4 linked regions of the Struthio camelus genome follow. The protein of the gene in region 1 interacts with the protein of each later gene in a biochemical or structural test. Links are inferred from orthologs where the notes say so. Each region holds a gene or a part of one and is shown in the gene's direction. Other genes may lie near its edges. The genes, in order: DLG1, FRMPD4, ATP2B4 and NET1.

Region 1 (7,790 bases):
TGTTCATCTACTGGTCACTCTCAGCTGGAAGAACAAAGGAGTCACTGGATCCTTGTATTTAGATCCAGTTCCAACTATCTGAGAGAAATTTCAGTTACGAGGACAAACAGTGGATCACAGACGTATCATATAAACTCACAATGGAGTTCACAAATTAAACATACAAAGCTTGTGTTCCTGGGGAAACTCTCTTCTCTCTGTAAGATTAAAATCAAAGAATCAGAGATGCGTAAGATGATCCCATAAGAGTTCTATTGAGTAAGATTAACTAAATAAGCTAAATTCTGATTTTAATAAAATTCTGATTTTAGTAACTGGAATAATTTCAGGTCATTTAAGGGCACTGAGGACACAGTGTATTGACTTGTGTGTGTGATAAACAACAGCTCATTTTACCCACAACGACAAAGACAATAGAAAGGAGTGAGCTGGTATTTTGACTGATCACTAAGTCTACATGACAGGATCACAGCTCTTTGGGTTCTGTGACACGGTAATTACAGAATATAATGAAAAAAGTAGCTTTAATCTTTAGTAGCCTCATGAAAATTGGTTACATCTGGTAACTTTTGCAAGAAAAAGACATGCTACCATGTTGTGCTTTCACTTAAGCAGGACTTTCCCATAAGAAGTTGTCTGCATCTGTTTTAACCCACACAATTACAGCTGATTAAAAAAAGACACTCTCTCAGCGCCCAGCTCCTGGAAGCTAAGGCTGCGGCACACCATCCAATCTTATCAGACATTAGAGAATCTAGACGAGGTGAGGCATAATAAGCTAACTTCCTTCAGACTTCATTCCTTATTAGCCAGAGGAAATTAGGCTTCATTACTTTCATTGCTCCCCCAGTTAGCTGTGCAACATTGCATTGAGCTGCAAGGGAAGTGAAGTGAAAGCTTTCTGCAGCTGTCAGAGATCCTTTTATGAGTAACAATTCCCAGTTCTGCATGAAAAAGTGAAATCATCTGTGCCGTATGCTTATATGGAGACTGCTTTTAGTCTGTAGGCATTAAGCAGATGACAAACATAAGATATACAAACGATTAACTTTCTTATTTTCAAGTTTTTTCATTAGTAACCCCAATATCAAAAACACCTGAGTTTACAGCAGTTCTTTTTGCCGAAGTTACCGATTCTGGCAATATGCCAGCTTATGCACTCGTGTCCAACTTGAAATAAATAATTGTACCATTATTTAGTTAGTTAGTTTACCTCACCTTCTACTCTAATGCCCATCCTCCCTAAACAGAGTTCATCTGAGCTCATGTTTTCTGGGACATACTGGTTATTGCAAACTGCTGCAATGTGGTGACATCCGTTGTCCTCTTTGTCCTGTTTTCTAGATGGCCTTTGCTGTGTTGATTGCTGCAGCGTGTGTGGATCTAGCTAATGTTTCTTGAAGTCTCCTGATCTAAGCTTGTCGTACCTAACCAGCTACTGCGTGTGGTGCCGGGGCAAGCCAGATTTACTTACATTCCCATCCTGAGTGGTCTACGCGGCCATCAACATGTTCCAGTGGGACTCAAGGCTAACAGGGTAAGAAGTTGGAAAGCGCCCCCTGTCCCCGCACAGTGAGGTGCCAGCTATGCAGGTGTGTGGAATGGCACAAAGAGCCATTTCCAAAGCAGCTTCTGGCAGCGAGTCTGCCCGAGGAGCGAGTGCGCAGGCAGGTACAAACCCCCGGCTCGGGTCACTGCTGTGATCATTTTCAGAGCAGGTACCTACCAACAAGCTCTGACAGTTTCTCAAAATGAGAAAACATTGTCTCTGTTTAATTATGGGTTTGTCAACAGGGTTTACTAGCCTCCTGCACACAGCCTGCACACAGCCTGCTTTTCCCTTCGTGCATGGATTGTGTGGGCTAGGATCAAGTTATGAATATTTCTCCACATCTGGGCAATACACTCGTGTTGTGTCTGCCTCCTGGCTGTCCCAAGCTGCCTGCTCTCGCACAGATATGCCCCAAAGCACAATCTCCTTGAATGAGTGGAGCAATGCATGCCTTGTGGCAAGTCTCCTGCCCTTGCCAAAGGTTCGGTCCCAGACAGAGGGTCCCACACAGGCTGCTGACAGCAGTTGCAAAAGAAGGATTTTAATGGCGGAGGAGAGGAGCTGTCTGTCAGATCCCCGGCTGCTAATGTGGGCAAGAAGGCTAGAGGGGAGGCAGACACTGCTTCTTGGCTTAGTTCTGCTGGAGTTCTTATCCCAAGGGTCGCTCTGGACTCCAGCCAAGATACGTTGCGCTCAGCATAAAGCTGACTTGTATGCTGACCACATCAGTCACAAATTAAGCACAAGCCTTTCTGTATGCTGCCTGTAATTGTTTAATTTAAATTATATTGCTTAAACCGTGGCATAAATGATGGTCTGGTTCGTATTGAGTTTTCCCCCCTCTCCAAGGGAACTACCCAATTTTCTGAAAACTGGAGCCTGAAAAATAAGACGTGTAATAGAGGGCAGCTTTATAATACAGGCTCTTACTGTAATGTGCAAATATAAGCGTAGTCATTCATTCACGGGATATTTTCTATGTATGCTAGGTGCTCAAAACCACTTTGTATACTGAAGTTTAGTACTGTGCAACCTGGTTCAACCACTTTCAGCCAACAAATATACTCCTAGAACTGAAACAGAAGTGCCGGGAACCAACACCACTCTCTGAGGTGCAATAAGGTTCACCTAATTGCTTCCTGGCTTGCTGATCCATCATCCTGACCCTGTCTTTGATGTGTGTTTTTCTTCCCAGAGCATTAGTAACAAGCGATAAATACTGTTTCAAGGTGCTGTATGGGGTTATTTCCCCATTCCCAGCACAATGAGTATATATTTGGGGTTATCTTTTATTTAAAATAAAAAGCCTTGGAAACATCAAATCCTGCTTATGAAAGAGTAGTTTGTTTCTTATGCTGGTACCTTTAATTGCAAAAATTTTCTTTTTTTTCCTCTATAACAATACTTTTCTGTCGCTCAGCAAACCACCCTAACTGCTGCAGATGTCTTTCTGCTAGCTAAATTTAGGCTGTTCTTCCTCTCCCTCTGTATACATTTCCCTGACATCAAGAGGACTACGGCCCCTTTAAAGTACATTTATTGCTGCTGTAAACAGTGGAAACTGAAGAGGCCAAACAATGAAAGCCTCTGCCAGTGCTCCTTCTTGACACGTTTTCCTTTAAAAATACATGTGAACTGGTAAAATTTCGTGCCAAAACTCTGAAAGTATGAAAATATGACAAGAAAGGAGGAAAGTGGGAAATGTGTGTCAGTATACATTAAATGTATATTATAATGTGTTTTCTTCAATAAGGTATGTGAACAATTTCACAGTACATAGCTGCGGGGGGAGGAGAAACTGCTAGTGCAAATCTAACTAGGAAACATGGGAGTATTGGAGAATGCAAGAGAGGCCTTTCCCAGATCTGGGTTAGATTTGTTGCAGGGTAAGTTTTCCCTATTTTAAGATTAGGACCACAGCCAAATCTGGTCCTGATTTCCAGACTGATCTTTTCAAATTTGCATGAGTTTTCCAGATGTTTTTTAGCTACCTGGTTTAAGCTCTTGTACATTTTCAGCTGTATCTAAATCCAAAAAAAAAAAAAAAAAAGCGTAAAGAGAGATGCAAGCCTGGATCAAAAATCACATCAGCGGGATTTGCTTTGAACTTCTCAGCATCTGCCTCTCCTACGCACACACACGGAGTTTGCGGTTTTTCAGAGCCGAGGTTTTTCTGCTTGAGCTTCCACCGGCCCGAGAAACGAGTAACCCCTGGCCGAGACAGGCACTGGAATTACCTCCAATCAGCGTTACTACGTGTGCGTTTGCCCCGTTAACGGGTATATCGATATCGCTGCAGGGATCGTTTACGTGGCGCATGTTTCTGACCGCGTCGCTCGGGGCTCGTTCCGTCTGCTGTCTCTCCCCCGTCACAGCAAGAACCTGTTTGCGCCTCCTTTGAGGGCGCCTCAGCGCAACAGGTAGACGCCGGTGAGCAGCGCCGGGCCGGGCCGCCCGGGAGCCGCCGCCCGCAGCGCTAACTAACGGCTGCCTCGGCCGGCCTCTGCGGGCTGCTCCCCGCGGCCGGTACCGGGGCATCGCCAAACTTCCCCGTGCGCCCCGCTCGCTGCGGGAGCGGGCGCGACCCGCCGGGGAGCCCCGCACCTGGGGGGGGCGGCGGGCACCGCGCCGCGGTAACGGCCGCGCCGAGCCCCACCGACCCGCCGCGGGCTCGTCAGGCTGCCGCCGCAACGGGCGCTCCCGGAGCGGGGCGGGGCGGGGCGAGCCGGGGCGGGGCGGGGCCGGGTCCCATGGCCCGCGGGGCGGGGCGGGCGAGGCGGGGCCGGGCCGCAGTGCCCAGCGCCGGCCCCTTTAAGGCGGGCGGCGAGCGGCGAGCGCTCACCTTGCCTCCTCCTCCCCCCCCGCCTAGGTACCGGCCCCGAGCCGAGCTGTGCTCTGATTGGGCGGTCGCCGGGCCCGGTCACGTGGGGGGGTGCGCTCCCCATAGCCGCCAGGCCGCCATTTTGGCTGGAAAGTTTGGAATTTCCGAGCGGCGCGAGCGGGAGGCGGCGGCGGCGGCGGCGGCGCGAGCGGCCGTGAGCCCAGCCCAGCGCGGCCCGGCCCGGCCCTCCCCTCCCCGCCTCTCTCGCGAGGCGCCGCGCCGCGGCGGGCGCGGGCGGGAGCCCCCCGCGGAGCCGCTCGCCGGTCGGTCGGGCAGGGAGGCAGGCGGGGCCGGCGCCGCGGCCGCCTCCGCCCGGCCGGCAGGGGGGGCCGCGCCCCCCCCCCCCCCCCCACGCTGCGCCGCGCCGGGCTCAAAGTTTGTGAGGCGGCCGGGAGCGCCATGCCCGTCCGGAAACAAGGTGAGCGGCGGTGGCGGCGGGACGGGCGCGGAGGGCGGCTGCCGGCGGGGGCGAGGCCGCGCTCTCGGGGCCGCCGACAAAGAAGCGGCCGGGCCGGGGCGGCGCGGAGGGCGGCGGCGGGTGCTGGCGGCGCGCGGTGACCTGTGGCCGCTCTCCGCCCGCAGACACGCAGCGCGCCCTGCGCCTCCTGGAGGAGTACCGCGCCAAGCTGAGCACGGCGGAGGACCGGCAGCTGCGGAGCTCCATCGAGCGCGTCATTAGCATCTTCCAGAGTAACCTCTTCCAGGCGCTCATAGGTAACGGCTGGCTCCTCTCGCCTTGTGGGCGTGCAGGCGGCGTTGGCGTTGACTCGCCCCTGCCGGGAACTCGGCGCTGTGGTGGAAGCCGGGTGCTTTTTCTCATTGTGTTGTTGTTTTGCATAGTAACGCACGTGCTGTTACAGATCAGCGGTTCGTTTGCTTTAAACAACTTGCCTTGCTCTTTTGACTGGCCCGATCTGCTTAAAGCTCTGCAGTCTGGTGCCGTTGTTTCTTCTGGGACGTGCCGCTCTAGACTCCTTAACGCAAGCTGTTTCTCCACTTACATCTTTTATCTGCCTGAACGATGTATAGCAGTGTTCTTTCCTGTGCGTCGTTATGTCACAGGTTAGTGAATGAGTTGAAGTAGTTTTACTCTAAAGTAGAATTTGGGCAAATGTTCCTGGTCTAAAAACGTCCCAAAGTTTATATTTGGAGTGCAGGGCTAACTTAAAGTGAATGAGAAGAAAATTCAAATCTTTTGGGGAAGGCTACCGTTTTCTCTTTCACAACACTAGCAGTAAATGAAGGAAGACATTACTGATTCTTAGTGTAGCGTACTTGTAGTGCTTATTCACTGAAAATGTTCACATAAGTCTCGTTGAAGTACTTGTAGGTAGTTTTGACTTACTTGCACATACACCTGCTTGGAAAAAAAAACGGAGCATGACTATAACTTGTAGAATCTTGACTTTGTTTTGAAACTTTTACGGGGAAGTGTTAACTTAAAGATAATGACACCTAATCAACGAGAAACTGTGTGTCAGCTAAAGAGTAAATGTTTTACTCTTTAGAGTAAACTAACAAAACTCTTAAAGTTCATTATCCTTGTCTTTTAGTAAATGGAGTAATTAATCTGTATCTGACTTCTGTAGAAACAAACATTCTAGCTAGCATGAGTTTACTTTTGTTACTTGGCATTTACATAACTTGTTGCATGTTTAAAGTATCAGATGAGTGTGCATGTCACTTCATAGTACTGACTTCTTTGAGTCTAAATTGTGTTGGTAACATGGGGACAGGCAAAAAACATAAACATGCGTTGCTGCATTTGGAATGTTTTGTTTGGAGCATTTCTTTATTCTCGTGTAGTTTTTCAGAGGATAGTCACCTTGCTGTGTTTTTGTGAGATAAGTTATTGAAAGCTAGTTGTGAAAACAGGTCAGTTCAAGAAATCTTGTACTTCAGAAGTGTTACGTGTTTCTCTTCAACAGTCAGTTGATGGTAGCTACTCCATGGTGAAAAACTAGTCTAACCTTTGTGGGATGTGTTTAAATAAGATTCACTGGTGGATCAACATGCTGAAGTCTTGCGTTAGAAGCTTGAAGTGCTGCAGTCAGGCTTTTTATTTTCATCCTGGAAATTTTCAGTGTTGGTTGCCATTTCTTCTTCATTGTCTTGAGGATCCATGAAGTACTATGTGTTTTCTCCCATTCATTGAGCAAGATACTGGTCTATTTACATAGCATTAGCCTTTCATATTGTAACCTGTAACACGTGCTTTCTTATATCCACATAAGAATTCTCATCAGCTCTGTGCTTAGCAGTAAACTTTGCAACCGCATATTTGCTGGCTTCTTTCTGCAAGAACAGAAAACGGGAATGGTGGTGTTGCCTGGGTGGACTATGTAGCCTTTTCCTCATCTTATAAGAAGTTGCATGTTGCAACCATTTGACCCCAGTTTTTCTCTGGTGTGGTTAATCTGTGCATGCACAATAGGTATATGCTTCTTTGCATTTACAGATTGATTGAGCATACACACATACACTCCATAACAAGAAATCATTCAAACTATTTCTCTGAAAGATGGTAGCACAGAAGACTTGCTTTCTAAGCATTTTATGCTCTCAACCTCAGTCTTTCTCCTTTTACTCCCCCCGCCCCCATGGAAATACATCACGGGAGTTCTTGGTAGTGACAGGCTATTGTTATTCCTGGAAACATCTTTGTGGTGTGACTACTGCATGATGGGGTGAGGAGCAGGTTGGAGCAGTGGGGACTCCCTGGAAAAGATGGTGTCTGGAGGATGGCTGCAGTTACTGTGAAGATCTTCAGCCTGCTCTTGCCTGCCCTCTTTCCTTGGACAATTGGGAGCAGGCTGGATAAAGGTTTTGGTTGTGCTGCACGTTAGATTTCCCTGGAATACAGCATTTTTCATTACTTCATAGTTGATTCTTAAGTACAACTCTTCAAGGAGTTGGGATGTGTCTGCAAATTAAACATCCAAGGCTGCTTTGACAGCAAGATGCAAGCTCAGCTATGAAGTTACTTCTCATATAGATACTTATTCTGGAAAGCAAGCTACTTCTAGTTTCTGAATTTTTAGAAGAATAATAGTAAAATCAAAACACCCTAATCATTTGTCCCCTCTCTCTTTCTTCCGAGTTGATGTATTGAGAGTTGCCTGTCAATGATAGGTGAGGATGTTTGTGAAGGCTGCAGTCAGTATCTGCTGTCAGCTTCATGCGTCCTTTTTAGTACCCCAGTGTAATAATGCCTGGTACTCTCAATTAAATGACTACTCGGGCCTTTGATTAAAATCAGCATGAGAAGTAGTATTAGTTTTAAGTCCTGTTGTATACTCTCAGAATTATGGTATCTTTTCTAGCTTATATTTTCTTGATTGTAGTTAAAATAATTTT
Region 2 (7,993 bases), on another chromosome or scaffold:
TATGAAGACCTGTCTATTTTAAAAGAACTGATGCTTTAGTATTGTCTTATTCATTGAAGCAGAAAATATTACTGTCTTTATTTTGGCTAAGGTCCCATTCCTTAACTTAGTTTTGTCTGTGTGTTGCAACATATGAAAGCAATTTTTTTAATATCAGGTTCAACATGCTGTAAGACTTTTCAGTTCATAACAGCAACCAGTAGTTTTTGTTCACTATCTCTTTGAAATAACCTGCTGGTGTAGCTTTAACTGTGTGTGCCTCGCTTCAGAAAAATGGTTGCACCAGTTGTGGAATCCTTGCTTATCTTGTTCCATGCAATGCAATGTCTTTTAGGCTGCTGTTTAATAAACAGCATAATGCTGAAATGTACTAACTTTACCATCCTCTGGACTTCTTTGTTTCCTAAATGGCAACAAATAAAATAATCTTATCTGCTATTATTTAAATTTTCAATTATTTATGATTTAATTTTGACTTTCTGTGTGATATCACATCTACTGCACTAAATTATGTAACAAAAATGAAACCTTTAGAGCTTAACAGTTTGCATGAGTCATTAAAAAAATTATGCCTGATAAAACTCTATTCAATAAAACTGCCAAAACTGATGTGTAGAAGCTGGGTGTATAGATTCCAGGAGAGCAGAAAGACTTCCTGATAAGGCTGTAAATGCAGACACAGAGAAAATCTGTAACTGTTACAGTATTTTCATATAGACACGTATACTGTATGGATAATAACCACTGGGATAAACAAATCATTTCTAAAAAGATCCATGTTTTGAAGCTTCAAAGCTGAAAAAATGAATATAATGGTTTGAAATACAAGTAGATCAGAAAACTACTACAGAACGTACTGGCGTTGCACAGTCATAAACAATTATCTCTATCAATAACATTCAGTAAGTACCAGACTACAATGTCAAAATGGTATCTTTCCTTGAAACTTCAGGTTTCGATAGCAGCTCTGTACTAACATCTCATTAACCAATGGCTTTTTTTATCACACTCCTTTAAACATTTATGCCATTTGGATATGAATAATATCATCAAGCACTATGAAAAAAATCATGGAACCTTCAGTTGTTATCTCAGGAAATAAATTATCATTATAACCTGATGAGTTAAAAGCCATCCTAAAGGTGAAATACAGTGCTTTTAAGTATCTCTTTGAGATTCCAAATCACTAAAAAAAAAAAAGACTAGTCTTAAAAAAATTGTAGAGGTAGATTTTTAACTGAGAGGAAAATTTTTGAGACCTCCAAAAGTATTAAAATGAATAAGTGGACTTCAGTCATTTCCAGAGGTTTCATTTTATGTCTTTGGTGTGAGATTTTACCTGACGTCCTTTAAATTATCTAGGATCAAATCGTACTGAAGCAAATGTAGTAAAATGAACATTACTGGTGAAGCTGCAGGGCTAAAAAAGTTTGTGCAGTATGGTAGCCAGGAGAGTCCAACTCATATTTTTCTTTGAGCATTCAGTACCTCCGAATGAAGAAAGAAAAATCCCAAAAATACAGCAACACACAAACAAACGGCTTTTGATCTCATTCATAAAGATATTTACATCCCATCTTCACAGCATTTTCCCTAGGACCCAAGGAATTTAGATGTCTGAAAAAATTAATAGTTTTTAGAGTGATTTAATTAGTTTTATGTTATTAATAGTATGCCAAAACATTCCTACATACATTACGTCTGTCACTTTCTTTAGAACAAAGAGCATTATAAAATAAGGCAGACTCCCTTTTCTATAAATGAAACTATAGGTGAAACTGCCATACTACATGAAATTATGGCTTTTACTGGCCCATGATCTACAGTAGGATATCTATGATTACAGAAAACATTAGTATTAAGTGTCCTAATTGAATTACTTCAGCCAAAAGTAATAAAAAGGTCATAGTATACCATAACAAAGCATCCTCAAAAATAGAGACTTAGAATTCTACTCTAAAAAAAAAAACATTCAGTCAGGAATTGATGTCAAATTCCTGGTTTAAGATTAGGAACTTCATGTTCAATTATTGTTTGTTACTGAGATACTAAATACACGTTGTTCTGCTGTCTTGAGCTGTCTGTTCTCATTCAGAGTTTACATGTACCTTTGTCACCCACAAATGGGTTTTATCTGACCTAAATTTAGGCATCTAGAAGACAGGCCTCTAGTCAAAGGTAGGAACCTAGGGCCTCCTCTCCACTGGAGTTGACAGAGAAAATAGAGCATCTCCAAAGGGCAATTCATGTCACTTTTTTTAGAATGAGATGTGTTGGAGTGATAGGTGCCTGTCCGCCACAGAGACAGGGAATGACTAACTGAGGCTGGAACCCCGATTTTTGGTAGTTAGTGAGAAGAATCCCACACCAGTGACAAAAAAAGTACATATGTTTGCAAGAGTTCAGTCATGGCATTGTCTAGTTGACATATCCTGCAAAGGAAGGCATAATACCAAAATATGATCATTTACAGATGATAGCTCCAAAACCAGTTCAAACTACATGTATTAATTGATGTTTACTCATGAAACAGACAGAACAACGTCCTCCACCTTGCTTCTCCGGGTTGGCAGGTTCTATCATTTTCCTACAGCTGAGATAGCTTTATACATGGTTGCTGTGACACCAGAGCCCAAAGAACCATGAACTGAAGTGTTGTGATTGATATTCCAATCTCCACCCCCACGCGTGTTTCCCACCTAGCACAGATCCAGAAAGCTTCCAGTATTTAGCACAGTTGGAACAAGTATACTTGTTTGGGTTCTCTGCTCATGTCTGCACATCTGGGAATAAGACTCCTGTGATTTTGCTACTAATGGATCTCCAGGGTATCGGCTGTCCCAACAGTATCTCCACAGCCATTCTGGACAATTTGTACGGTTGCAACGATTTCCACTCAGGAAAACAAAAATATCAAAGTAATTATAATCATAGCAATAGTTCATCTATCTCTTTGGAATGCCAAGGCAAGAGAGAAAAATAATTTCAGTTCAGCTTCGAATTGTAATGACTTTCTGTTAAGCCCAGTCATTTTGGGTACTGCATCCTCTGTTTATCACACTGATACATTTATAAACAGCAGTCTTTTCATCCCTAGTCTTTGTTTTGCTAGGCTAAGCTCTTTCAGCCTCTTCTCGTAAGGCACACTTCGCTACCTTTAACATTTTTAGTATTTTCCTGCACCTGCTTTCATTTTTCTCAAACACACTTCCTGAATGAGCTGAGTACAGCATTTCTGGTCAGATCTTATGCTGTCCGCTTTTCTGTCTCTACTGGAAATACCTCAGTCGATGCATCCTAGGATCATATTTGCCGTTTCACCAGAAGACCTTGAAAGTATAGAAATGCTACAGAACCCTTAAAACATCTTCACTTCTCTGGCTCTCACTCCTACGCTTTGAGGCACCATTGTGTGTTAGGCCTTGGAATGTAAAGTACTTAAGATAGGGGACCTTGTTTATACAGAGCATATGTGCCTAATTTTATATATGGTATATCATTTCATCAGCATCAGTTTGCTTTGTAGGATCTTGGCCTATCTCCTTAGTCTATAAATAAATAATGACAGTTTTATAAATAACGCAGTTTCTAACCAGCTGAAACTGTGTTATTTTTGTAACTTTTGTCAATCAATAGAGCAATGTGAATGACAGGCAAAGGTTCTGCCGTTTTAAAAAATCTGGTATAACAATAAATAAATATAGTTGCACGTAAGACCCACATAAATATTTTGATGTACTAGCATAAAGTACTTCATACAGTATTTCAGAATATGCACAAAGCATTTACATCTATGGTAGGTCTGCAAGTGTTTTTAGCTGGCTGTTTAATGTTCTCCAAGTGTAAATAGATAATCAATCATTCTTTGTTATTGTTTTAAAGAATAGTTTGAAACTTGATGCACAGTGAGTGTTCGTACTGCCTGTTCTTTTTGTTCCCTTATCAATAAAAGCTTTAATATTAAAAAAATTGCATTGTTTTCTTCTAGCTGCTAGAGTCTACATATTGGCCTCTATTGTCATTTCTGAAATTTTTGGTTGCTGAGACAGTTTAGGTGCAAGCCTCCAAAGGAGACAGAAACTGTGGGAAGTAAAGAGCGTATGAATCTGTTTAGCAAATGAAGACACATATAAACACACTTTATTGTGAAGAGGAGAATATGCATTCCCATGCTGAGAATTATTGTACCGTAGTGTAGAGCTTCGAAGCACATCTATATGTGAAAACGAATTTGAATTTCTCCAAGCTCCTGTCCTGCTCACTCACAGGAAGCTTACGGACAGCAGTTAAACTCCAGTCCCTATTTTGAAGCTTTATGCAGGGCAAAAGCACAAGAAAACATTGTCTCCTTGTGTTCTTGTGAACGTCAGGACGTCAGCTACACCATTTTCCCACAGAACATGGGATGAGGAACGCTTAGCTATGTTGTCATGACTCAGCCTTGCAGCGCTCCTGTCACAACTAGGAGGACTCCTTTCCTCAAAATCTCTTACATGGCATGGATAAAGAAGCCACGGGATGGTGACAACCTCCTCTGGCGACAGCAGGGCAGTGAATTTGCCACCGTGTTGCCGGTCAGTGGTCCATGGTTGAGGAACATCTCAAGGAGGCCACCAGGGCTTCCCTCTGCCCCAGGGGGAAGTATGGCAGGACAGCGAGGCACGATCGCTGGGGAGAGATCCTCAGTGGTGGAAGAGGGCTGTCCGGTTCCCCCAACTTTTGCTTTCGGGATCTGGGCAGCAGGCTTCTAGCAAAGGACCAGGGTGCTTCTCCCCGGCTGGGGAGGGGCCTTCTCCCCCTCGCCGGGCCTGCCTGCCTGCCCGCCCGCCCCAACAGAGAGGAGCCTCCAGCCCGGCCTAGCTCCCCTCGGCGGCCGGCCAGGCCCCTCGGCCCGCTGCCGGCGGCCGCAGCGCCGCCTCGGGCGGGAGCCAACGGGCGGCGGGAGCCAACGGGCAGCCGCCGCCTGCGCGCTGCGCTCCCCCACAGGAGGGGGAGACATTGCCGGCGAGAGGAGAAACTCCCCCTCTCCACCTTGCTGATTGCCCCCCCTCCTCCCTCTCCCCCGCACCCCGCCGCTCTTCTCCGCCTTCCTCCAGCGGGGATACGGCAAAGAGGCAGCGGGCGGCGGAGCGCGGCCGCCTCCCTCTCAGCCTGCCGGTGCGCGGAGCGGCGGGCGCCCGGGCTGGCGGCCACACCGCCCTCCTCATGCCTTCGGTTACCCCGGGGAGGGGGCAGGGGAGGCAGCGCGAGAAGCGGGGGAGGGCTGCGCGCAGATGAATGCTGCTCCTGCGAGATGCTGCACGCCCAGCTCCCAGCCGGAGGCGGGTAGCAGCCTCCGCCGCCGGCTCCTGCCTTTGCAAGGGCTGTTGCTGCCACTGGACGCAACCTTCTCCCCGATATGGAGCTGCTGCTGCTGCTGCTGCCGCCACCGCTGCTGCTGGAGTGAGTGAGTGAGTGACGGGCAGAGCTGGCCGGCTGCATGGATGGATGTATTTAGCTTTGTGAAGATTGGGAAGCTCTCCGGGTAGGTGCTCGGCGCTGCCCGTGCCCGTGCCCGGCGGGGGCGGGAGGTTGCGGGGGGCTGCCGACCCCGGGGCGCTCAACTTCCCTGGCGCCGGGGCGGAGGTCTCGGGGTCGGGCTGCGGGTTTTCAGCGCTTGCCGCCCCGGCACCTGCGGAGGGTCACGCCGGTGGCTCTGTGTCGTTGGGTTGTTCCCCTCTGCCCCCATCTTAAAAGACAATAAACGTGGTCCCGCGGCTGGTGCTTCTTGCCGCGGCGCAGCTGGGGTTACCGGGAGCGCTGGCCGTGGTGAAACGGTCAGAGCAGAACTGTTTGGGAAACGCAGAAGCGGCGGCGAGAGCCGGGACCGGGCTGGGGCGGGTTGGGGAAGCAGGCGCTGCCTCCCTGAGGCCGCCGGCGGGTGAGGTGCGGGGGGCGGCGGTTAGCGGCGGTTAACGGTCGCCGAGGGCGCGCGCTGCCGGGGGTGGGGGCGGCGGCCAACTTGTGAGGGCGCGGGGCACCGCCTCGCGGCGGCGGCGGCTCCCTGCCCCGCGCCTCGGCCCTCCCGCCCCCCGACTCCGCGCCCGGCGATATTTTTAGAGAAGTGGTGAAATCATCGTCAGCTCTTTAAGCGCTGCCCCTCTGCCTCTTCGCATGATAGGTGCTGGGGAGCAAGCGGGTTTGGCGTCTGCCATCCCTCGCTGGCTAGGCATGCACTTTTTTGTTGCTGGAACGGGTGTGAGGCGTGGACTTTTTGTTGCTGAAATGGGTGTTTAATGAGGATGTCTTTCCCTTTTCGAATAAGTCTTCCTTTTAATAGCCTCCGAGTGCTGGTCTCTGTCTGCAGACTGTTGCGTTCGCAGCTAGTTGCCAGGCCTAAGGCTACGTAGATGGACAAAGAAGCGCAGTAGCCTCTATTAAAAATGTTTTCAGTGTAGGTAAACACAATTGGAGGTAACACGTCTCAATAACGTGGGAAATCACACTTTATCTCAAAGATACTGTATAAAAGTGCTCGAGTTGCAAGATTTTTCTTTTTTTCTTTTTCTGTGTGTGTGGATAATCCTCCTAAAGGATTTAGCTTTGATCACAGTAACTAGGAGTGTTCTGAATTCTTACGATTCAGTGCTTAGGACACCATAGTTACCATATCCATTTCTGTTTATGAAGCATAGACTGAAATTGGATGTTGTACAAAAAGGAGAAAGGCCTTGTTAAAGAAATACAAAAGGCAGCTTGCTTCAGTGACGTTCAGATAGGGAACTTGTCAAAATGACAGATGGTCTTTAAAAACAAATATTGCATGGCTGGAAGTTGTAGAATGCCACAGGTGCAAGCCTAGCCTTTATCCCCCAAATTTCCCACCATTGCACCTGGCTGTGATTACAGCTCCACTTGTGGCAATGCCTGCGCAGAACAGCTGCTGTCATTCAAGTACATCATTGTCTCATCCTGCTCAGAGCAATTTTACATGATGTGACGGCTAAAACACTAGTGGCCTGCTCAGCTTTCTTTGATTCGTGTTTCCAGCTGATGCCACTAGAGCTGCAACAGCAGTAACTACAGTGGAAACTTCGAGGAGAGGGAAAATATGCTAGCATAGATAAGGAGCAGGTCATGTAGTATGATTTTTTTTTTCCAGATATATTGAATTGCTGGGCTGCTTCTATTTATTTAAGAGCAGAGTTTTAAAGCCCCCCATCCCCTCAAACCTTCATGTTTCATATTTGTCACGCCTGAGTTAAAATCAAAGGGAGAGAAAGGGATGTGCTGTATGGAAATATTATTAAGTCAGGAACATGGGAGTTTTTAGATCTATTTTAAGATTCAATCTTAAATATTTTTTTGGTATGTACACTATCTGTTGACTTTCCACAGCCTCAAAGATGCAGATGTTACCATTCCTGAGATTTGTATTTAGATAAAGGCAAATCATAGTATTTCACTGGAAAACCTGAAAATTCTTTCTGCAATTAAATCACAAGTTTCAAGGCTTGTATCAAGCTTCATTTGATTCAAGGATATGAAGTTTGTGTATTCAGGGACTGAGTTCATCTTCTAGACTGCAGTAAATCATTTCTGTACCGAGCTACTCTTTTTGTTTCTGAATTTCTGGTTGTTAAATGACCATAATAGTTTACATGGGACTTTACTTTGCTGTTTCCTAGGTAACAGCTAGGTATCTGTTCCAATTTTATGAGCACTTCGTGGAGCAGCCACGTTCCAGTATAAACCCCATTTTTAATCCCTCTATAAGTCTGGGTTGAAAAACTAGTTTGCCTGGAAATGCTGATTCTTCCCTTGCTGTTAGAAGGAAGATTTTTTTTTTTAAAGAAAGATAGGATAAATGGATCTTGACTGAGAGTGTGATCTTTCAGGCAGATTACATGCATAAAGTTGTTGAGCGCTTGGCTGCTACTGAATATTTTTAAGCCTTTCAGTCATTTTTTTTTTTTAATTTGCTGTGAGTTCGGAGCTTCTCATTTTAGTCTGC
Region 3 (7,158 bases), on another chromosome or scaffold:
GGCTCCGCAGTCAGTCCAGTGTCTCCGTTGTAAACCCTGGGGGGGTCCGATTCTGCCCTCGGCTCTCCGGCACGGTGCAAAAAGCTTCTCCGTTGACTCCCGCGGAGCGACGCTGGGTCTGTACCGGCGGAGATGAGATCCGGATCTGGCCCTGGGTTTTGAATGGGTTCATAACGTGACTGATAACAACTTGGCTGATCCAATTCATTTTGGGCTAAAACTCCACCGACAAGTTCCCAGCCTGGGAGACGTTAAAGACAAATCATGATGAAGTTTGGTACTCTTCTTAAAGGGAAATCATCGGTTAAGCCCAGTTCTTAAAGAAGACCGATCTTGGTCTGGTTGACCGATCTTTCCCCTTTCGGGGGTATTTTTTTACGCTGCTGGCCGAAGCTCCGGGCAGGAAACGCGCGGCGCTCCCTGCGGCCGGCTCCCAGCTCCACGCACGGGGCCGGAGCCGGAGCGGGAGAAAAGGGAACAAACCGAATACCCAGCCAGGGTCCGAGGCTAGCGAGGGGGCCAAAGGCACAAGCACGAAGCAGCGGAGCAGCCCTGCGGAGACCTGCCCGCGGGAGCCCAGCGTCCCCTGCCCTGCCGGCCTTGCCCGGGCGGCGCGCGCCTGCGGGTCGGCCCTCCGGGACGCGGCGGCGGCGCGCTGCGAGCGCGGCTGAGCATCCGCAAACCGCCGCAGCCGCTCGCCCTGCCCGCGCGGCTCCCGCTCCGCTGCGGATGTTGACTTTCCTCCGTGCGCTTTTCCTTACGTGTGACATGGAAGGGGCTTTTAGACCGACTGTTTATGGCTGCTCCAGACGTAATGGAAACACGGCGGGCAGGAGCTGCTAAGTACTAGGACTGTAATTGCAGGCTGCCACTGGATGGGAAGCACATTTCGAAGCGGCTTTTTGGCCGCTTCCTTCAGTGAGAAGCGCGGAGCACCCAGGCTGGGAAGATCTGCCTTTCCCAATTTCAGCTGAAGCCCAAGGAGGCTGCAAATTCTCGACATTTCTGCAAATGCGAACTGCCCTCTGTTAACAACAGGTTCCCTCAGGCAGGAGGCCTTATTTCCTTTCAGGAGTCCAAATCCAGATGGTCAGAGATTCCTTCCAAGCTCAGAAAAGCTGTTTTAAAAGGCTATTATGCCTCAATAGCCCTTTTTGCATCCCAGACCATTGGAAATGCCGTCTGCCGTCTGTTCCTCCCTGTATTTTTCGAGCCTTCTCCAGTCACCCAGACAAACGGTGGTCTCTGCAAGCCGCCTTTTATTTGGGGGGTGGGGGAGCAGGACGCCGCCTGAAACCGGCCTGTTTGTTCCCGCTTTTGGCTTTGCAGCGGGAGGGGAGGCAGTGCTCAGCCCCCTGCCTGCACCCCCCTGCAGAGAGCACGAGCAGGCTGATACCCTCTGTGTTGCAAACTATTGAAAGGAAAGAGATGCTTTAATTAAGAGTTGCGCTGGCAGCTCTGACGACTTTTAGTCGACTCCAGATAACTAGCACAGGTTTGCTTCAGCTTCCAGCAGCGGCTCAGAGCAGCGCCCAGCCGTGCACCCAGCACCAGAGTCCCTCTTTGCCAAGCAACAGGAAAAACAACCAGGCAGGATGCGTGGGATACGCCACGCTCAGCGGCCCTGCAGGCGCCTCGGTGCAGGGAGGGAGAAATCCCCGCGAGGGTCCACAGCGGGGCTTTGCACCGCCACCATCAGCTCTCCGAGCCAGACGGAGCCACCTCGCTGAAAGCCGAACGGACGCGTTCTTACCAGCGCCTTTCGATTAGCAGGCGGAGGAATTCCTGCAAAAGGGCCTGGAAGCGTTTGCTGGGTGCTGGGCGGCAGGGCCTTGGCTCTCCCGGTGCTCCTGTGCGAGGAAGTCGTCTTCTGCGGCCCCCCCGGGCCGGCGCAGGAATGCAAAGTAATGGAGGTGCAGGCCCTCGAGGAGGGGAAAAAAAAAAACGTTACAAACACTAATTAGGGCTTGTGCGTGCACAGATGTTACACTGGTTTAACTTGAACCAGGTTGCAAGCCCAAACGTAGGGATAGAAACAGGATTAACCCTAATTTAAGGTTGCCAACACCCAAATGTTGCACCAGTCTTGTTGCACCCGTGCAATAGTGCAGCTTTCAGTCTGACTGCAGCATTTCATATGCTTCTAAAAAATGTGGGGGTGGTCGGGTTGGCCTGCGTGAAAGGGTGGTTATTTATGCTCCAATCCTGTGCAACTCAAAAAATGCACATACCCCCTGCCCCCTCAAATGACACAGTCACCCAAGGGGTGCCCAAGAGCTCTGCCTCGTGCTTTGCAGGGCCGCTGACACCCCCCTGGGCACTTGCTGGCTCCGCACGGGCAAACCCCAGCACCCACGAGGAGGCACCCCGACTTTGCCGTGCGTCGACTTTGGGTGCTCTAGAGGCGATCAGCTGGAGCGAGGAGGGTCCTGTACAGGAGTGCACCGACCCTGCTTGGGTACCCCCACTGGCCCGGGGGGGTCCACGCTGCTCAGGGGTGCATGCACCTTGCTGCCTTGGGGAGGGTCCCACCTCCCCACCCCACCCAGGGTGCAGGCACTGCAGTGCATTGGGAAGGGTCCCACACAGGCTGGGGGTGTCCGCACTGCCCTGCGGGGCCTGCACCACCTGAGGGTGCATGCCCAGCACTGCCTGGAGGGGGGGTACCCTTATCACCTTGGGGGTGCATGAAGCACACTACCTTGGTGGGGTACGTGCCACTGCTCAGGTGTGCATGCCCTGCAATGACATGAGGGGTCAATAGTGCTTGGGGGTGTGCATGCACCACACTGCCTTGGTGGGGTGCATGCTGCTCGGGGGTGCATGCCCTGCACTGATCTGGGAGGGGTCAATAGTGCTTGGGGGTGCATGCACTACACTACCTTGGTGGGGTGCATGCTGTTTGGTGGTGCATACTGCTCGGGGGTGCATGCCCTGCACTGATCTGGGGGGGGGTCAATAGTGCTTGGGGGTGCATGCACTACACTACCTTGGTGGGGTGCATGCTGTTTGGTGGTGCATACTGCTCGGGGGTGCATGCCCTGCACTGATCTGGGGGAGGGGGGTCAATAGTGCTTGGGGATGTGCATGCACTACACTACCTTGGTGGGGTGCATGCTGTTTGGTGGTGCATACTGCTCAGGGGTGCATGCCCTGCACTGATCTGGGGGGGGTCAATAGTGCTTGGGGGTGCATGCACTACACTACCTTGGTGGGGTGCATGCTGTTTGGTGGTGCATACTGCTCGGGGGTGCATGCCCTGCACTGATCTGGGAGGGGTCAATAGTGCTTGGGGGTGCATGCACTACACTACCTTGGTGGGGTGCATGCTGTTTGGTGGTGCATACTGCTCAGGGGTGCATGCCCTGCACTGATCTGGGGGGGGTCAATAGTGCTTGGGGGTGCATGCACTACACTACCTTGGTGGGGTGCATGCTGTTTGGTGGTGCATACTGCTCGGGGGTGCATGCCCTGCACTGATCTGGGAGGGGTCAATAGTGCTTGGGGGTGCATGCACTACACTACCTTGGTGGGGTGCATGCTGTTTGGTGGTGCATACTGCTCAGGGGTGCATGCCCTGCACTGATCTGGGGGGGGTCAATAGTGCTTGGGGGTGCATGCACTACACTACCTTGGTGGGGTGCATGCTGTTTGGTGGTGCATACTGCTCGGGGGTGCATGCCCTGCACTGATCTGGGGGAGGGGGGTCAATAGTGCTTGGGGATGTGCATGCACCACACTACCTTGGTGGGGTGCATGCCGCTTGGGGGTGCATGTCCTGCACTGATCTGGGGGGGGTCAATAGTGCTTGGGGGTGCATGCACCACACTACCTTGGTGGGGTGCATGCTGTTTGGGGGGTGCATGCCCTGCACTGACCTGGGGGAGGGGTCAACAGGGCTCAGTAGTGCTTGGGGATGTGCATGCACCGCACTGCCTTGGTGGGGTGCATGCTGCTCGGGGGTGCATGCACGGCACTAACCCGAGGGGTCGATACCGCCGGGGGGGTGCATGCCCTGCACTGACCTGGGGGGAACCCGCAGCACTTGGCGGTGCATGCACCGTCCCGTCCCGTCCCCCTTAACGGCCGGCGGGGCGAGCCGCCACCTTAAGAGAGTCCCGCCCCCGGCGGCGGGGACCCGCCCCGGCCCGGCCCGGCCCGGCCCGGCTCGGCGCGGGTTGCCATGACAAGCAGTTTCTCCCGCTAGCGCCGGAGCTGCCGCCGCCCTCCTCCTCCTCTTCCTCCGCCGCCCCATGGCCGCCCGCGGGGGCTCCGCCGCCAGCCGGGCCGCGGCGCCGCGCCGGTGAGTGCGGGGCGGTGCAAGGGGGGGGGGGAGGCGCTGCCCCGACCCGGGCCGCCCCGCCGGGAGCGGGCGAGTCCCGGGGCTTCCCCCCCCCCCACCCCAACCCCGGGGCAGAGGTGCCCGGGCGGCTCCCCGCCGTGTCAGCCGCTCTCCCGCGGGGCAGGGGCTAGCCGTCGGGGCGCTGCGGGGGCGAGCGGGTGGCGGGGTGCCCCGGCTGGCCGCGGCCCAGTGCGCAGACGGGGAGGGCAGCCGGGGCGCTGCAGGGCGCGCCGGGGCGAGGCTGCGCTGCGCTGCGCTGCGCTGCGGCGGGGTTCAGCCGCTGGCAGGGAGGCGTGTGCGAGCAGCGGCGTGCTGCAGGTGGGATGCGACCCCCCCCCCCCCCACCTCCTCAGCCGGCTGGGTTGGGGGGCACGGGGAAGGCGGGCGGAGACGTGCCCGAGGGCGCAGTCTGCAGCGGTGCCGGCGCCGGGCGCATCCGGCAGCAGCAGCAGCAGGTGGGAGGCAGCGGTGAGGGTCGCGCTGGGGGCGTTGCATCCTCGCCGCCGCAGGGGACCTGCGACTTGCGGCCCGCCCTCGGGGGACGCGGCGCCGAGGAGCTAGCCGTGCTCGGCGCTGTCGGGGGGGCAGCGCTGCCTGGCCTGGCCTGGCCGCGGAGGCGGGAGGCGAGCGCTGCGGCTCGGGCGCCGTCTCCGCGCTGCCGTCGTGCCGCTGCCCGGAGCTGCAGCTGGGCACCGAAGGGAAGGGCAGGCGCTGCGACGGGGGGGGGGTGCGTGTGCGAGTGTGGAGGAGGGGGAGTTACTTGCGGCAGCCCAAGGACAGGCTGGGGGAGGAAAGGTGTTTGCAAGGTTGGCTCTTGCGTTTCCCTAGGGGGGCAGGCGCCCGCCTGGAGCGCAGGGAGGCTGCCGGCCCCGGCGGGGCGGGGGAGCCGGATCCGGCCGTCGGTCGCGCTGGGAGCGCAGCGCCCGGGCACCGCACCGCGCCGCACCGCGCCAGGCGCGTCCCCCCTGCTGCCTGCACCAATCTGCCCGGGCAAATGCACAGCGGGGGGGGGGGGGGAGAAGAAACCAACCCCCCCCCCCCCCAAAAAAAAAAAACCCCAAAAAGCAACGAAGCGCTGGCGCACACGGCTAGCGGACGGGGGCCCTTGGCCGCTGCCCGCGCCCTAGGCCGGTCGGCAGCGCTGCGCCCCGTCGAGCATCTGCTTTGAATCCGCCCGGGGGGACCTGGGTGCCCGGGCTGGGGGCGGGGGGTCCCACCTCGGCCCCCCTGCGCCCGAGGGGGCCGCGCAGACCCTGGGCGCAGGGTGGTCCCTCCCTGTGCGGCCGGAGGTAAGCCTGGAGCTTGAAAGGGGGAGGGAGGGACAATAGGTTATTGTCCTCTTATCTCTGGAGAGCTGAGGTCGGGTGGGGGGGAGGGTGGGGGTCGGGTTGCCGAGCTCAAAGCAGCGCAGCCTGTTCCTGCCTGGCGGGACGGGACGGGACGGGGCGGAAGCCAGCGGCCCTCGGGGCTGCCGACCGACGAGGGGCCCCGCGTCCCCGAGGGGGCCCACCCGCTCCGGCGCGCCGCCCTTGCCTCTGCCTGGCTCCCGCCGGTGCCCTCAATCTTTTGCTTCCTTGAGCAAACTGAGATGCACCTGAATTATTTAGCCACGAGCGAGAGGAGCTGACGCCCCCCGCGCTCCTCCCGTCCTGGCCGCCCCGGTCCCCGGGGAAGCCCAGCCGTCCCCACCGGTGGCGGTGGCGTGGGACTGGCGCTGGCAGGGCCACCTGGCCCGGCCGCCCCGGGGAACGGAGCACCGAGCGCGCTCTGGGTGAATGAACGGGAAGAGTTGGGTGGTCCTGGAGGCCTCCCGAACGCTGCGTGCCCTTCGGTTCCCCAAAGCCCGTTCAAAGCAGTGGACTGTGTGCTTGGGTGTAAGATTTTTGCTGTTGTTGTTGTTCTTGTTTGTTTTTTCATTTCTGTTTCTTCTCCCTGCCCAGTGCCCGGCCAACCGTGCCGGTGTCGAGGCGCGACGGAGGAAGCGCCCGTGCTGGCTGCGTTCCCGCCGCCTGAGCGGAGCGAGGCAGCGCCCGGCCGCGGCAGCGCGCGGGTAGCCGAGAGCCCGCTGCAGAGCCACGCCGCGCCGCCCGGGGTTGCGGGTGCCGCGCTGGGAGCGGCTCCTCCCGAGGAGGCTGGAGGGACCTCTGGAAAGCGTTGGCTCCCTCCCGGAGGGGGGGAAAGGAGTTTCTGGCCCTGGGGAGGTGGTGCAAGCGCTGCAAGTAGTGGCTGGAGAGGGCAAAGGGTGCTTTTCTGGGTGCTTTTCTTTTTTTTTTTTTGGAATGGCAGGAGATGGTGCTAGAGGGAATTCCCCGTGCTGGCTCGCAGCCGTCGAGGTGCGCCCAGCCCGCCCCGGCTCCTGCAGCGCGCCGTGCACCCTCGCCGTTAGCGTGCAGCAAGGCGCAGCCCCGCGCCGGTGCGCGAGCAGCTGGGACCTGCTGCCACGAGGCCTCGCTGGCGCTGGCAGCGGCTCCCGGAGAGGCAGAGCAGGGCCGTAGCGGGGCACCGGCCCTCGGGCAGGGTGAGTAAGAGCGGGAGGGACAGGACGGGGGCGAGCCTCGGGCTCTGCCATTGTTTTGCAGCAGAAAGAAGCAGGGTGGAGCTGCAGACGGGAGTTCCCCCCCACGCGCCCCGAGGCGCTGGGGAAGCGGCCGCCTGGGAGCGGAGCCCGCGCCTCGCTCCACCCGCGGCGCCCTGCACGCTCCCCGCTAGGCCACGAGCGGAGTTTGCCGGCTGGGCAGCGCCTGCGCCGTCCGGGAAACTCCCCGCCGCAGGAGCCCCCGGGGGGTCGCGAGGGGCTGGGGCCGCGCGGAGCCCGG
Region 4 (7,234 bases), on another chromosome or scaffold:
CGAACCACATGTATTATCTAGCCTAATGCTTACTGACTAACTGGAACATAAGGGCAATTTTCATGTAGTTTTACAGCACTTATTTTCTAGGATTTTAAAGATGAAAATATGAGACAGCTTTTTTTTTTTGTTTTAATGACTTGAAGTACTGATGGTGACATGCACCCTCATCATGTGCAATTTATGGCCTAAGGTTTTATGGCACCATAAACGTCTAAGCTGCCTCGAATCCTCCAGACGACTACTTTCAAAGTAGTGAAACTGCTTAAAGGAGCAACATTGCCAAGTGTAGAAAATTCTGCAAAATAACTCGACACTTTGAATCCTAAAAGAGATCGGTGTCAATGAAGCGTGCTTTAATCTTTGCCTAATTAAGTCTGCTTGTTTGAGAACCACAAGTCCTTAATGCATGTGTTACTAATCCCATGCCTAATCCAAAAAATCTTTCCAAAAGGCCATAGTCCTCACTAGACAGGCTATCCATTTAAGTCAATACAGTCATCACTACTCGTTGCGGAGAGCTGGGAGCAGAAAGCTTAGCAGGCAAAAGCCCTCCTTTGAATAAAGTCCTTTCTGGCCCCAAAGATGGAGCACGGAGCAAAGATCAAACTTACAATTTCTCCTGGAGCATTATGAGCTTCTGAAAATTCAGTGAAACTATTTTGCAACCTCTGTCAGCATTTGCTAGCAGGTAGATGCGGCAACATCAGCAGGAAGCCTCTGAGCAATTCCCTGAGTAATTCTAGCTGTGCACCACTCATGAGTTATCATGGATACTGTGTGTCCATAGTCTTTAGCTATTACTTGTCTTTGATACACACTGGACTGCCGGAGTCCGTTTCCAGTGGTGTAAAGAGCCTCGGACACTACTGAGGACTTGATGTAAAGTCAGGATCTGGCCCGAAGCAAGGCTGAGCTTCTGCCACAATGTCCTGCCCAGAAGGAAGCCTGGTAGTGCCAACCAACGTTGACCTTCATGTCTGTGTGTGAGACGATATCTTTACATAGCATCCTAAATCCACTTATGCTTATTAAAATTCCAGCTCTGGTGTGCATAAACTGCACAACCAGCAGTTATCAGGGCTACACAGGGCTGGTAAGTCTCATGTGTAAGCCAGGAGAAGACGACATTGGGTGAGGCTAGAGCGTCCAGCTGAAGGCTCTTGCTCACATGCTGATTAGCAGAGTAATGTACCCTACTGGCCCAGTGCTTGGCCTCAGCTGCCCAAGCAACTGTGATAATAAGTCGAGGCTTCCCTCGGGCATGATGACTCCAGTCTGATACGTACTGCCGTACAGTGGAGCAAGGGAGGAATGTGTTGGAGGCAGATCTCTTTAGTGTCACGTCACTGCTGGAGACTCCATGAGGAGGGTTTTTCTTGTGCAGCTTCTGCCTCCTCTGATGAAATTATTGCTGCTGCTACTGCCTCTTGGGTGGGAATTGAAACTGTGAACAGTTTTCTTTCATAGAGCTTCTTGGTTTTCTTCTTTCCTAGTCCTACGCAAGGGTTATGCATTTCTATCTCTAGGAGGCAGGCTGCTGGTATGCAGACAGACAATTCAGTACAGCCTCATACATGAGGTCCAACCACAAGGCATCGTTCCTATAACCAAGCAAATGAATAAGCTCCTCTGTATCATTCATTAGTGCGAGTGGACTGAGGAAGTAGCTGTCCAGAGCATCCACCTTGCCCCAGAGCCCACAGTCACTGGAGAAATACCAGAAACCGGTGGAAATCTAACGGAAGAAGGAACACAACCTCCTTCCCAAGAGACCTGAAAAGGGTCCCTTAGCTGGACTGGCTTCTCACATTTCCTAAATATTGGCAATAGGAGACCTGTGGCTCACAATGAGAGGTTCTTCACCAAGGCAGACCAACCTGGCGACCCTGTCCCTGGTGTCCCCATATCTAGATATGCTTCACCTTCATGACCTACGCACCTATAGTCTCAGCAGAGAAGGCCTGCCACAAGCCCTTTTCCATGCCATAGATCACCAGGGAATTCTTCACCTGGATTTAAAAGTCATCTGATAAGTCCATGGTCTGCTGCCTACTGTAGTGGGGGAAAACAGCGCCCAGGGACGTGACTGCGGCCATCGCAGAATGCAAAAAATAGGAGGTCCTGAAAGACCAGGAGCTCTTCAACACCAAGAGGACACACCAGTTTGTGGAGGGCTGCTACAGAAACCAGGGTCCCGCTAATCATGTGTTCAACGTGATGTACGTGAAACAGGCCTCTGTGACTGGTATGTGGTGTGGCATGACTGATGTGGAGCAGGGGAGGACTCCAGGGCAGAGGACAAAGCTGTAGAGGACTGTGAAGAAGGGAACAATTTGGCTGGTGGACACGAAGCGTACGATTGCCTATCAGTGACTATAAGCCAATATAAATGAAATACCGAGCGGGGCAACGCAATTCGCTGAACCGTTTAGGTTTGAACAAAAATAGAAACTTCACAGTTTTGTCACGTTAAGTCCACATTGGAATAGTACAAGCAGAATTAATTCTCCTAGCTTTGGCATAATATCAGTGCTAAGTCTGAGTATTCTGGCATAGCAAAATACTCTGCTGAGAGCAATCCTGGTGTATTGGGTACGCTTGCTCTTCTTCCCATCCCAATGGTACATTTCAAAATAGAAGTACATCTTCTTTCTAAAGCCTTCAAGTCTTTGTCTAGCAGATGGTTACGTTTAACCCTTTGGCAGCCTCCTGTAGTTCAGCTTAAAGGGAGGATATCTACTTTTTCTGAACCAAGCTGCAGGTTCTACTTCAAAAGTTAGGCTTTTTTTTTTTTTAATATCTCTGAAAAATCCATTTCTGATTTATTACTAAAATACAGCCAAGTCAGTGAAATGCCTTGTACATATGCAGGATTTTTTATGGGTTTCAAAGCATTTCATCCAACTGCTGTACAGAAGTTGAGACCAACCTGCGCTGAAACGAATATGATAAACTGTAAAGGGCCGTTCCAGCACGGCTGCCTGGGGTGCCAGCACCGATAAAGGGAGATTTTCTGCCAAAACTGTCTAGTCTACAGGCAGACTTGCGCTCCAGAGCGGGCACTCCCAATTTCTAAACGAGGGTAAGTCATGACCCTCCCTCTCTCCTAGGACCAGTCGAATCGTTATAAACTTTGGGGCTGCCACCACCGCATGAGGGGAGAAGCCCTGTCCCCTGCCAACAGCCACTAACCGCAGGGGGAGAAGGCTGAAACGGAGGAAAACTGAGATTTTGCCCAACGGGGCCACGTTTCCAACTAACAGCTGAGCGTGTCTGAACGCCTCGCTCAAAGTCCCACTTAACCCAAAGCGGAGCGGGAGGGATCCTGACGGCTTTTTAAGGCCGTTTTGGGGGGATTTTTTTGTTTTTTGGTTTTTTTTTGCGGGGGTGGGGGGCTTGCTAGCGAACATCCGCCTCGCCAAAGCATCTGCTTTTCCCCAGTGGGGTGAGAATTTAAGAGCCCCTCGTAAACCGTTTACGCGGCGGCTGCGCGCCGCCACGCCGAAAGGCCACCACGCACGAATCCCCCGCCCCGGCCGCCTCTCCCCGTGTCCGAGAGCGGAGACCCCCCCCCCTTCCCCTTCCTTCCTGAGCCCTACGATACAAATCCCCACTTTTTGTGTTTTCTTCAGCTCGGTGACTGTTCAGGGCACCTCCCGTTTCTTCCAGGGAGAGGGGGAAACCCCTGTGGAAGGCAGAAGGGAAAGGGGGGCAGCCCAGCTCCCTGAGGGGCCCTGGCCCCGGCTCACCCCGCGTCCGACCCTCTCGTACGTGCTTCGAGCCCATTTCTGAGGTACTTTTTCGTGACTCGAGGCGATTTCTGAGGTACATTTTTGAGATTTGAGGCCGGGGGCCGGGGGGGGGGGGGAAGGCCACCCTTCGGTGGCGTTGAGGGGACGAGGGCGCCGGCTCCGTGTTCGCTGAGGAGAAAAGGCTGAGGGGAAGGGTGGGGGGCAGGAGGAGACGGGGGGGCGAGGCCGGGGAGAGCCGGGCCGCCGCCGGGCACGACGGCTCCGTGCCTCAGTTTCCCTTCCCCCCCGCCGGGGTCCTCCTCAGGCGCCGCTGCAGCGCGGGGCACCAGGGGGCGCTGCGCTCTGCCGGGGCCGCCCAGCAGCCGCCCCTCCCGCCTCACAGCCGCGCCCCCCTCGCTTGTCCCGCCCCCCGCGTCTCCTAGCAACTCGCCCCTCCCGCGGCGCTGATTGGCCGCCGCCGCCGCCGCCGCCATTTTCAAACCCCCCGGTCGCTGCTTTCGCTGCTGTTGCCGCCGCCGCCATTATCCGCCGAGCGGTGCGGCCGGTGCCCGCTCCCTTCCCCGCTCTCGGCGCGACGTGTCGTGTCCTCATGGAGGCCGAGCCCGCGGGCCAGAAGCCCCCTCGGCGGAGACGGGGCAGGGTCAGTGCTGGGGCCCGCGCCAGCCGCTCGCCGCCGCCGGCGGACAGCACCCCCGGCGGGGCCGCCTCGGCCGCCTCCTGCAGCCGGTAGGAGCCGCGATCCCTCCCCGCCGCCGCGTCAGGGGCTGGAGCCCCGCCGATGGCCGCGGTGCTCCCTGTGTCCCTCGTGTATCTCAGAAGAGGGGACCCTGCTCCCTCCTGCCGTTTAAAGGAGGGGGAGCTCCTTGCCGGCCTGCCTTATAGAAGGGACTGTGCCTTCCCCCTATCTTATAAGAGGGGACCCCCCCCCTCCAGGCTGTAGGGGACCACTTACCCATTTCTCTTATAAGAGAGACCCACCCTTGCAGGCCATAGGGGACCCTTCATCCTCCTGCCTTTTAAAGGGGTGCTTCCCTCTGCTGACTATAGGGGACCTATTCCCCTCCTATTTTATAAGGAAGGGCCCCCTGCCTCCCTATTGTATAAGGGGACACCCTCTAGCCTGCAGGGGACTTCTTCCCCCCTCCTGTCTTATAAGGGGGTACTCTCTAGGCTGTAAGTCACCCCTTGCCATCCTATAAGGGGAACTTGTTTGTGGTTTAAGGGGATCCCTGTCAGCCCCATAAAGGGTGTGTGGAATCCCTTGCCTGTTCCTGTCCTGTAAGTGTATGTATAGAGGAGAGGGGTGATCTGCAGGCTGTAGGGGATCACCCTCTATGCCCCATCCCATAATGGGGAAGGTGGCCATTCCTCTCTCCATCCCTGGGTGCAAAACTACCCTGAGGCTTTCATGCAAAGACTTCCCTCCTCCCACCTTGCTCATGGGGGTATCCCCTGGGCTGCCTGCAGCCCCCACCTGTTTGGCAGAAAGAGGAGAGGGCCCTTGCTGCTTCCTAGGGTGGGCATCAGTGTGATTGGGGCCTAGGGTGTCCTCTCCCCTCTCCAATCGCTCTTATTGTGCTGCCACATGTCTGAGGGGATTGGGCTCCCCTTGTCACCCGTATCAGGTGCTGATCCCTAGGGGCCTCAGCTGGTGGGTCGGAGTGGGGAGCAGATGTCAGTAAAACTGGGAGCCTGAGGCTGCCTGGCAGGAAGGGCCAGAATGGGCAGGTTTCCCCCCTGGGTTGCCCATTGCCAGCTACCCCTGCTTGGTCCTCAGGATCTCTTTGGGCTGGAATGCCTGATCAGCTTATTCCCTTGAGGTGGGAAGACCTGTTTTGGCTCCAGGGTCTGCCCTGGCTTTTGCTCTGTTTAATTGCCTTGGTGTGCCATGTGTTATAGTTATTCTGATGTGTTTGTTGGACTTTGAGACCTTTCCCAAGACCACCCTGTGAAGGACACTGTCACTTCTTGAGTTAACCAGAAGCTCAGTTTGTGTTGACCCCAATAACAATACCTGGTTGTGTTTATAAGCAGATCCTGCCCTATCTGCAGTTGACCCCTGGATGACCCATCTCCTGCTGACTAACATCTAGACCAACCCAGGTTGATCAGAGGTGGCTTGTGTTTTCTGTTGCCCTTGGGGTTAGGAAATGACTTCTGCAATCATGCTGGTGGTGTGGAAAGTGCATTGCATTGTGAGGGAAGCACACTCCCAGCTCTGGAGATGGTGGACTTGGATATGTGGATGCCCTAAGCTGTTAAATTAGGATAGTGGTTGTCAGCTGGCTTAGGACAAGAGAAGAGAGCATATCTATAAAACTTCTGACTTATCACCGTTCCCCCTTACACAGAAATATACATTCCTCTGTTCTGTTTCCTCTGTGCGACTACAGTCTGCCTTCAGGTCCTCTAAGTGAAGCGATCTGTAGCGTACCAAAAAATTCTAAACCCTCAAGTTCTGGCAAAGGTGGCTCTGGCTGTGTCTCGCTGAACCCCGGTCTGTACCTCCAAATGCTGTGTGCAAGCTGCAGTTCGCCCCGAGATGCAATTGGGGTCCTTTCTTTACTGCCATAGTTCTTTGTACTGACTGGGGGATTGCAACCCTTTACAGCCCTGCCTGGAAGCTGCTTTTCACTACCTGGGTTATGTTGGCCAGAGATGCTCCTGCCTCTTCTCCAGCCTCATCTGTGCCCTGGAAATGGGTGGGAGAAAGGGGACTTGGGCAGTCCCTTGTTTTGAGACCTGGTGAAATTCCCCAGAGGCTGGAATGGGTGTTCTTTATTTGGCGGCCTAAATCAAAGCAAGTTAAACGTAAATGAGCTTGGCTTTCATAATGGCTGGCTTTAGTAAGCATGGTGCGTTCTGGATGGCAGAACGTTTTAATGAGCTTTAAAAACAAATGTTTTCATTGAAGCGTACTGCAGTATCATCTTGTAGTTCCATAATTAATGCAGTTGAAAAGCATAGTATAATTAAAGGCTTCAGTGGCTTGGTGAGGTGATGAAACATGTTGGCTGTTTGTAGGATAGTCGTGCATTCCTTTGTGAGGCTTGTCTGTGTGGAGAGGCCGGGCAAAATTACGATAAAACTGAAAGAAGTTGACACGGATAAGACATGTATGTATTAAACCTTCATCCGGAGACTTTCTCACAGGCAAATTGATGCCAGCTCAGCACCTAGATGTGATCTTGTGATGTAGGTAGAACAGTTCAAGAAGTCACTGACTCAAGATTTGTTTGTAGAATAGTAGAAAAGTTTAATTAGTGAGGGACTTCTGGAGATCTGTAGTCCAACCCTTGCTCAAAGCAACTTCAAAGTTAGGTCGGTTTGCTCACGGCCTTGTCGAGGCGAGCTTCAGATACCTCCAAGGATGCAGATTTTTCCATCTCTCTGGGTCCCTGTTCCAGAGTTTGACCACACTTATTTTGAAAAACTTCTTACTTATCTAATAAGAATTTTCCATGTTACAACTTGTGCCC

What was found.
Region 2: the proteins of DLG1 (region 1) and FRMPD4 interact in a test that uses a peptide from one of them, tested with the Homo sapiens proteins (2 studies listed by IntAct, with this or other methods). The link is inferred for Struthio camelus from reciprocal best matches to the Homo sapiens genes DLG1 and FRMPD4.
Region 3: the proteins of DLG1 (region 1) and ATP2B4 form a complex in vitro, tested with the Homo sapiens proteins (2 studies listed by BioGRID and IntAct, with this or other methods). The link is inferred for Struthio camelus from reciprocal best matches to the Homo sapiens genes DLG1 and ATP2B4.
Region 4: the proteins of DLG1 (region 1) and NET1 form a complex in vitro, tested with the Homo sapiens proteins (3 studies listed by BioGRID and IntAct, with this or other methods). The link is inferred for Struthio camelus from reciprocal best matches to the Homo sapiens genes DLG1 and NET1.

Annotation. Positions count from the first base shown.
Region 1 is NC_090950.1:18,055,520-18,063,309, reverse strand, and holds the start of DLG1 (disks large homolog 1), read left to right. Parts: upstream 1-4,781; 5' UTR 4,782-4,832; coding exon 4,833-4,851; intron 4,852-5,015; coding exon 5,016-5,147; intron 5,148-7,790. UniProt on the Homo sapiens protein: Essential multidomain scaffolding protein required for normal development. Recruits channels, receptors and signaling molecules to discrete plasma membrane domains in polarized cells.
Region 2 is NC_090942.1:141,381,794-141,389,786, reverse strand, and holds the start of FRMPD4 (FERM and PDZ domain-containing protein 4), read left to right. Parts: upstream 1-4,982; 5' UTR 4,983-5,483; coding exon 5,484-5,524; intron 5,525-7,993. UniProt on the Homo sapiens protein: Positive regulator of dendritic spine morphogenesis and density. Required for the maintenance of excitatory synaptic transmission. Binds phosphatidylinositol 4,5-bisphosphate.
Region 3 is NC_090965.1:6,586,441-6,593,598, forward strand, and holds the start of ATP2B4 (plasma membrane calcium-transporting ATPase 4), read left to right. Parts: upstream 1-4,156; 5' UTR 4,157-4,303; intron 4,304-7,158. UniProt on the Homo sapiens protein: Calcium/calmodulin-regulated and magnesium-dependent enzyme that catalyzes the hydrolysis of ATP coupled with the transport of calcium out of the cell. By regulating sperm cell calcium homeostasis, may play a role in sperm motility.
Region 4 is NC_090942.1:2,273,219-2,280,452, reverse strand, and holds the start of NET1 (neuroepithelial cell-transforming gene 1 protein), read left to right. Parts: upstream 1-4,217; 5' UTR 4,218-4,344; coding exon 4,345-4,481; intron 4,482-7,234. UniProt on the Homo sapiens protein: Acts as a guanine nucleotide exchange factor (GEF) for RhoA GTPase. May be involved in activation of the SAPK/JNK pathway Stimulates genotoxic stress-induced RHOB activity in breast cancer cells leading to their cell death.